Linked DNA regions of Macaca mulatta. The protein of the gene in region 2 interacts with the protein of the main gene of each other region in a pairwise test. Links are inferred from orthologs where the notes say so. Each region holds a gene or a part of one and is shown on either strand. Other genes may lie near its edges.

Evidence for each region.
Region 1: the proteins of CIB3 (region 2) and ENOX2 interact in binary tests that used the Homo sapiens proteins (3 or more experiments, as listed by UniProt). The two-hybrid records come from large-scale screens. The link is inferred for Macaca mulatta from reciprocal best matches to the Homo sapiens genes CIB3 and ENOX2.

Annotation. Positions count from the first base shown.
Region 1 is NC_133426.1:137,100,649-137,104,461, forward strand, and holds part of ENOX2 (ecto-NOX disulfide-thiol exchanger 2), read right to left. Parts: intron 2,231-3,813; coding exon 2,049-2,230; intron 1-2,048. UniProt on the Homo sapiens protein: May be involved in cell growth. Probably acts as a terminal oxidase of plasma electron transport from cytosolic NAD(P)H via hydroquinones to acceptors at the cell surface.
Region 2 is NC_133424.1:16,649,542-16,654,120, reverse strand, and holds the start of CIB3 (calcium and integrin-binding family member 3), read left to right. Parts: upstream 1-1,600; 5' UTR 1,601-1,644; coding exon 1,645-1,695; intron 1,696-1,926; coding exon 1,927-1,961; intron 1,962-4,579. UniProt on the Homo sapiens protein: Acts a an auxiliary subunit of the sensory mechanoelectrical transduction (MET) channel in hair cells. Plays a role in regulating hair cell MET channel localization and function.

The DNA.
Region 1 (3,813 bases), on a different chromosome or scaffold from region 2:
CCAGCACACACGAACATTTTTCCATAAAGAGATTGGGCAAATCAAGATATTTTCACTTTACATTATTTTATCTGGCTCTTAAGAAATTCCTTTGAACTTGTTAATATTTGAGAAAGGTCCTGAGAAACTAATTGATCCAGTCACTTAACTTCTTCCCTATTCTGGGCGGGGGTCAAAGTAGGGTGCAGTTAATACTGTGTGGGCAATGTTTTGATTGCTGCATAGAAGTAAATGTAATGTTGTAAAGCATTCTTGCAAATAGCCATTTGCCAAGCCAAGTTCAATTTCTATGAGGAAAGTAGTAAAGAATCCAAATTTTACATATGTTAGTTTCCATATAAGTAGGCAGGAAGCTATATTTAGCTAATTACTAATAATTTCATTACTAATAATTTCAACAAATAATATTTATTTGAGTGCCTAATATGTACTAAGCATTGTGCTAAGGGTTTTATATGCACGGTCTCAATTAAGCCTCACAATGACCCTATGTTACTATGATCCCTAAGGCTAGGAGAGGTTAAGTGGCTTCCCTAATGCCATTCAGATAGTCAGTAGCAGAGCTGGGATTTAAAAGCAGGTTGGGTCAACCCCAGAGTTCATGTCCTTACACACCTTATTATACTATACATCTTTTGAGATAAGATGGGAGAAATTTTATCATCGTTTACAAGGCATTTTTTTTTCAATACAAAATAATCAAAACGAGTGAAATTATTTTTAAGAGGTAGAGACCTAATTCTCACTGAGGTCTTTGAAGTGATGAAACAAAATAAAATTTCATCATTTTTGAATTTCATTTAAGTAGCAGAACTATCCTTATGTGAAATGGTTTGAAAATCAAAGAGGGGAAAAACAGCAACAACAAAAATATTTCCAAAGTCGTGCTTTTCAGAGGCTTGCAAAAGACCATTGGAAGGGCTAAAAAGCATGGTACAATGTACATTGTCAAAATTCTTTGAAGTGTAGGTGAGGAGGTGCATTTTTTCCATAGAAAGATCTATGATATAATTTACATGTTCTAATTAAACTCCATGGTGATGGTAAAAGGAAGGTGAGCATTACTTCACACATTTTGTTAACAGAAAAGGTGAAATATTAATGTCATATTACTTGTTGTATAGGAAGACAATGGTGGCAGAAAGAATAACTTAGGGTTCCTAGTGCCAGAATAGACCATTGTTCATGATTTGTAATTTCCAACCAGCAATTTGCTTTGCCCTAGATAATTTCAAGGCATACAGTTAAAAACTATTGCACAATTTAAGGTATAAGGACAATGGCTGGTAGTCTAGCATGACAGAAGACAACAGTGGCCTTACTCAGAGGCACTACTCCTTTACTATAGTGAAGGCAGCTGTTGATAACTTTTAAACTGTAGAATCACTGTGGTGATGGTTACATAAAACTCCTAGATGTTGAACATCTGCTACACTTCTGTGAATGCAATCACAGTTGGGTGCATTTATTTACTTTGCTTTTTACACTTTGAATTATGCACAGGTAAACTCATTCACATAAGTGACTGTTAATACAAAACAAAATAAAAACAAGTTGGTATTATGCGCTCAAAGCATTGACACTTAAAAACCTATAATGTACCTATTTCTACTCAAATCAAGGGTAGATTCCTGCCATTCCTTTTAAAAGGCTATATTTCTTGGTATTCTATCAACTAGATATGTGTTCATCAGCATTTTTTCATATCTAAATAATTGAGGTTCTTCGTAAAGACCCTGAGGCCCTGTCTAGATCCCTAAGTACCTTCTGAAGCATAAGGAAAAGATTAGATTATGTTCAGTGTAGTCTAATGTTAAATATTTTTCATTTAATGCTCATTCTTTGAAAATTGGCAATCCATTGCTATCTCTGTATTAACTGGAATATTTAATTAACCACAACAATAATTCCTTCCTCAGCCATGCCAGATAATATTACATCAAGAAGAAGAATAGGTTTGATATTCGATTTGCTTGCAGGGGACTCTTCTACAGGTGAGAAGCTGATGCTATTCTACCCAGAAGCTCAGAAAACCAAAATGCCTTTACCTGTTGCATTCCTTGCAGGGCTTGTTGCAGGAGTTTCAGTTGCTGTTCTTTGTTTGGGTCATCTTCTCTGTGGGCTTTGCCTTGTTCTTGCTTGAGCAGTTCTACTTCATTCCGGTAGGCATCGAGCTGCCAACGGAGGCTGTCATTTTCTTCCTTCAGAGCTTCTGCCTGTGATACTAAGGCTAAACAATCAATATAAAATATGAAACCATATATCCAGATTCATTTGTGGTTCATCTGAATACCACAAAAAGGTTGGTTCTTCCTCTTGATGAAGAACTTTAGGTTTGAGTTGGCCATGTCAGCAAGAGATGGACACAAAAGCACACAGGCCCGCTTTTATAAATGAACTAGGATTCCAACACACAAAAGTTCACATCATATTCCTCATTCTCCACCTCAGATATAACTAAGATATTTTGAGGTAACATCAATTTCTTTTATTTGAAATGTAGGAAATGGTAACAGCCCTGTAATAATAAAATACAGGACCAATTCCCTTGAACCGACAAGTGCCTACACAATAATGTTGCTGACCGATGTTTTTAAAGAATGTAGCATTGAGAAACTTAACCTCAGAATTTCCTGCTGCTCCATAGCTTTGTATAAAGAGTCAGATTCTAACTTCAGTTACACTCATTTTATTTTTACTGAAAATGTAAGGGGGAGTAATGAAGAATCAAAGTAGTGCCAGAGGTTAGCAGGCTGGAAAGCAAATGCTGAGGGACACGGTTATGGGAGCACACAAATATGGGAGCCCGGAAAAGGAAATATGAGGCACAGATAGAGTTGTGTTAGTGAATATGCAATTGCATTTCAAGATTTCTTTCTTTCCTTCCTTCCTTTTTTTTCCTTTTCTTTTCTTTTTTTCTTTTTTGACAGAGTCTCACTCTGTCGCCTTAGGCTGAAGTGCAGTGGTGCCATCTTGGCTCACTGCAACCTCTGCCTCCTGGGTTCAAGCAATTCTCCTGCCTCAGCCTCCTGAGTAGCTGGGACTACAGGTGCCTGCACCATGCCTGGTTACTTTTTGTATTTTCAGTAGAGATGGGGTTTTGCCATATTGGCCAGGTTGGTCTCGAATTCCTGACCTTGTGATCCACCTGCCTCAGCCTCCCAAAATGCTGGGATTACAGGTGTGAGCCACCGCACCTGGCCCAAGATTTCTTAATATGCACGTTTTCATGTACTTCTTTTCAAATAACTGTTAACCAACAATTTGAAACACACACACACACACACATGACTATAGCATTGACTCGTCCCACAGAGGAAAGATAAATGTAAAAACTAAGACACAAGATTTCCAGTTTCCAGTCTGGCGTGTAAGGACATTTAGAAGCTGCCACTCTGTCGTAATAACAAGTAAAAAGCTGAACAACCTGAAAAATCAACAACTCTTTTTTATATTTGTTAGTGAAGTGAGGTTATAGGGCAAACAGCTGCCCCCAAAACAAAACTGGAGATACAGACAGGTGAATATAGAGAATCACAATTTACTGGACCAAAAACCCATGAGCAGAAACCTCCAGGGGACGCAGTCCTTGGGTAGGAAAACCTAAGCTGTAATTAAGCAATTGCTGGAGGCTGTGTGGACAAGTCTGTGAAATTAGCTTGGTGTGGTGGCACGTGCCTGTAATCCCAGCTACTCAGGAGGCTGAGGCAGGAGAATTGCTTGAGCCTGGGAGGCAGAGGTTGCACTGAGCTGAGATCGTGCCACTGCACTCCAGCCTGAGTGACAGAGCAAGACTCGGTCTCAAAACAAACA
Region 2 (4,579 bases):
TTGTTTATTTTTTAAAAGTCATTCTTGAATGGCTGGGCATGGTGGTTCATGCTTGTAATCCCAGCACTTTGGGAGGCCAAGGCGGGAGGATCATGAGGTCAGGAGATCAAGACCATCCTGGCTAACACGGTGCAACCCCATCTCTACTAAAAATACAAAAAAAAATTAGCCAGGTTTGGTGGCAGGTGCCTGTAGTCCCAGCTACTTGGGAGGCTGAGGCAAGAGAATGGCGTGAACCCAGGAGGTGGAGCTTGCAGTAAGCCAAGATTGCGCCACTGCACTCCAGCCTGGGTGACAGAGCAAAACTTGGTCTCAAAAAAACACACACACACACACACAAACACAAAACAAACAAACAAACAAAAAATTAGCTTGGCATGGTTGTGCACACCTGTGGTCCCAGGTACCTGGGATGCTGAGGCAGGAGAATCGCTTGAGCCCAGGAGGCAGAGATTGCAGTGAGCCAAGATCATGCGACTGCACTCCAACCTGGGCAACAGAGTGAGACTCTATCTCAAAAAAATAAAACATCATAAAATAATAATAATAACATCAATGCACACCCCAGAACTTCATCTAGTTTGTTCATGTTCCCAGTGCAGTGATGCAATCACGGCTCACTACAGCCTCAAACTCCTGGGCTCAAGCAATCCTCCCACCTCAGCCTCCCGAGTAGCTGGGACCACAGGCATGAACCAACATGTCCAGCTAATTTTTGTATTTTTAGTAGAGACAGGGCCTTGCCATGCTGCTTAAGCTGATCTTGAACTCCTGGCGTCAAGCGAACCTCATGCTTTGCCTCCAAAAGTGCTGGGATTGCAGGTATGAGCCACCTCACCCAACCAAAACCGTATTTTTTTTTTGAGATGGAGTCTCGCTCTGTCGCCCAGGCTGGAGTGCAATGGTGTGATCTCGGCTCACTGCAACCTCTGCCTCCTGCGTTTTCAAGCAATTCTCCTGCCTCAGCCTCTGGAGTAGCTGGGATTACAGGCATGCACCACAACAGCAGGTTAAGTTTTGTAGTTTTAGCAGAGACGGGGTTTTGCCATGTTGGCCAGGCTGGTCTTGAACTCCTGACCTCAGGTGATCCACCTGCTTCGGCCTCCCAAAGTGCTGGGATTACAGGTATGAGCCAATTCACCCAGCCAAAATCTTTTTTTTTTTTTTAAATCTCAGATCCTGAGAATGACCATATGAGGTAGGTATAATGTAATTTTCATCTCATGAATGAGGTTCAGAGAAGTCAGGTGACTTGCCCAGGGCCACACAGCTAGTGGGCAGAGAGCTGGAATTTGAGCTGGAGTGTGCCCATAGCCCTTCCGCATACCCTCCCTGTCTCTTGAGTGTGGCCCGTAACCCCAGCCTCACCTGGTGGTGGCAGATGTGGCCTCCCCACTGAGGGCTTCTCTGTGATGTCCCACAGCCCTCATCCTCACCCATGGACACATTCAGGCTGTTGTCCAGAGAGCCTGGCTGTAATTTGAGTCTCACCAAGCAGGGGGTGACGGTGTGGGTGGGCGGGTGACAGCCAGGGCAGGGAGATTTGCCCAGACACTGGTACACAACAGCCTGGCAACCCGTGTGGCCCCGAGGAAGCTGGGAGCCTTCAGCGTGCATCCCCGAGTCTGGGCTGTGGTTCACACCATGGGCAACAAGCAGACAGTCTTCACACACGAGCAGCTGGAAGCGTATCAGGTAGAGGGGTCAGGAGGGGTCCTCAGTGGGTTTGACAGCTTTGGTTCCGTGGTCTGGGAAGTGGGAACAGAATCCCTTCATCCGGGTGTACCGTCTGCCTGGGTTCCTGGTTCGTTCGGCTCTGTGTGTGGCAGCATTGGGCCATCTGTGTGAGTGTGGGGTGGAGGGAGGAGGCCATGGGAGGAGGCCCCAGAGGCAGGGTTTGGGTTAAGACAACACCTCTCTCCACAGGACTGCACGTTTTTCACAAGGAAGGAGATCATGAGGTCAGTCCAGGGAGGTGGAGAGAAAAGATCTGGAAAAACAACTTTCTATTCATTGCTGGAGGATATTTGCAATTTGGGGTGTGTGTGTGTGTGTGTGTATGGTCCTTCTTCCCTTCTTCCCTTCTTCCCTTCTTCCCTTCTTCCCTTCCTCCCTTCCTCCTTTCCCCCCTCCTCCCTTCCTCCCTTTCTCCCTTTCTCTCTTTCTCCCTTTCTTTCCTCTTTCGTTCCCCTCCCTCCCTCCCTCCCTCCCTCCCTCCCTTCCTTCTTTTCTTTTTTGTTTGAGATAGGTCTCTATTGCCTAGGCTGGAGTGCAGTAGTGCAATCGCGGCTCATTGCAGCCTCGATCTCCGAAGATCAGGTGATCCTGCCACCTCAGCCTCTCGAGTAGCTGGGACCACTGGTGCGAGCCGCCATGTGCACCTCATTTTTGTATTTTTTCGTAGAGATGGGAGTCTCACTACGTTGCCCAGGCTGTTCTTAAACCCCTGGGCTCAAGCAATCCACCTGCCTCAGCCTTCCAAAGTGCTGGAATTACAGGTGTGAGCCACCATGCCCAACTGGTATTTCCAATTTGATGGGACTCAAATGGGGAAGGGGGGCAGGTGTGGTCAGTGCATGGAGGCAGAGATGGAAAAGCTGAGAAGTCACATCTTGTCACATTGTCCCAGTCTGTAGGCTGATGAGCTTGGGCTTTCTCCCAAGGGTGGCAGGGAGCCATGGAGCATGCATGAGCAGGGCAGAGAGCATCAGCTTGTTAGAAAGAGTCTCCTGAGGCTGGGCACGGTGGCTCACGCCTGTAATCCCAGTACTTTGGGAGGACAAGGCAGGTGGATCACCTGAGGTCAGGAGTTTAAGATCAGCCTGGCCAACACGGTGAAACCCCGTCTCTACTAATAATACAAAAATCAGCTGGGCGTGGTGGTGGGCGCCTGTAATCCCCGCTACTCGGGAGGCTGAGGCAGGAGAATTGCTTGAACCTGGGAGGCGGAGGTTGCAGTGAGCCGAGATCACGCCGCTGCACTCCAGCCTGGGTGACAGAATGAGACTGCGTCTCAAAAAAACAAAATGAAAGATAAAGATTCTCCTGAGACTGGGACTTGAGGCTGGGAGCCCAGGTGCAAAGTCCAGAGCCCACTACGGGTTGCAGGCTTGGCATTAAGGTGAGGGTATGGGGAGGTGGCCCAAGGCTGCTGCATGTCCCTGGTGTGACCGAGCACGATGGGCACAGATGAGAATCCCATATCATCACTCAGCCTGTGGGGCCATTGTCCAGGGGCCCCGGCCCATGAACTTGGAGCTGTGAAACCCAAGCTGGCCAGGGTTCGGCTGCAGTGTGATCGGGGCCAAGGCCCCAATTGTGTAGTAACAGGACATCCATTATTGATGGCCACACCTTTTACTCGTGAGCCCCATTGTCTGGGTGAGGACAGCTTGCAGGGTCACCTTGGCCATCATGATCAAATTACCGATGGGGAAACTGAGGCTCAGACAGGGTAGGGCTGACCCCAGGCTGAAGGGTAGATGCACAGAGCCCCAAGGCGGTTGAAGGCTGACATTTCGTCTGTCCCAAACTTCTTGCTTATCAGATAGAATAACCAAGGCACAGAGCGGGAGAGGAACTTGCTCAGAGCCATACAGAAACCTAAACCCAGGATATTCCCTGAGGGGACCCCGACAGGGAACTGAGTGGTCAGGAGGGAAGTTCTAGGTCTCCCCACCCTACCTTCATTGAATTCCTAGTCATCATATGACCCAGGGACTCGTGTCTCTCTCAGAGAGAGTCCCTAGCAGCTTGGGAACCTCAGACCCACCAAGGATGGTCTCTGCAAGGCTGCTGCTCAGCATGCCCTAATGAAGGTATGGTGTCACCAGGTGAGGGTGTCTGAGTGGAGAACTGGCCTTACAATCTAGATAGTGTGTGTGGTATTCAGTTATTTGCAAAATGCCTTTTGTCTGCCCTTTAGAAAAACGTGAATATTAGCTGTGTGCCTCTGCTCTGACCCGTTTGAGGAAACCGTCCCCCCCCTTTTTTTTTTTTTTTTTTTTTTTTGAGATGGAGTCTCATTCTTGTTGCCCAAGCTGGAGTGCAGTGGCATGATCTCGGCTCACTGCAACCTCCTCCTCCCGGGTTCAAGTGATTCTCCTGCCTCAGCCTCCCAAGTAACTGGGATTACAGGTGCCTGCCGCCATGCCCAGCTACTTTTTTGTATTTTTAGTAGAGATGGGGCTTCACCATGTTGGCCAGGCTGGTCTCGAATTCCTGACCTCTGATGATCCGCCCACTTCAGCCTCCCAAAGTGCTGGGATTATAGGTGTGAACCACGGCACCCAGCCCCTTCCTCCCATTATGAGGAGAGGAACGGAATGTATGAAAGTGAAGGTATCTTTGGAGGCAGGGTCTTGCTGATAACATGACGATATCCAGAGATGTGTGGATTATAGAGGATTCTCTGAATGCTTGCTGTGATCTGGCCATAAGCACCCTCCCTTCTCCCAACTCCATCTGCCTTATAAACTCCTACTCATGCTTCAAAGCCCAGCACCAATGTCCCTTTTCCAGGAACCCCCTTTTCCCTAGCTTGCTTTCCCCAGTCCAGTCTCCCTTTGTCCTGTGGCCC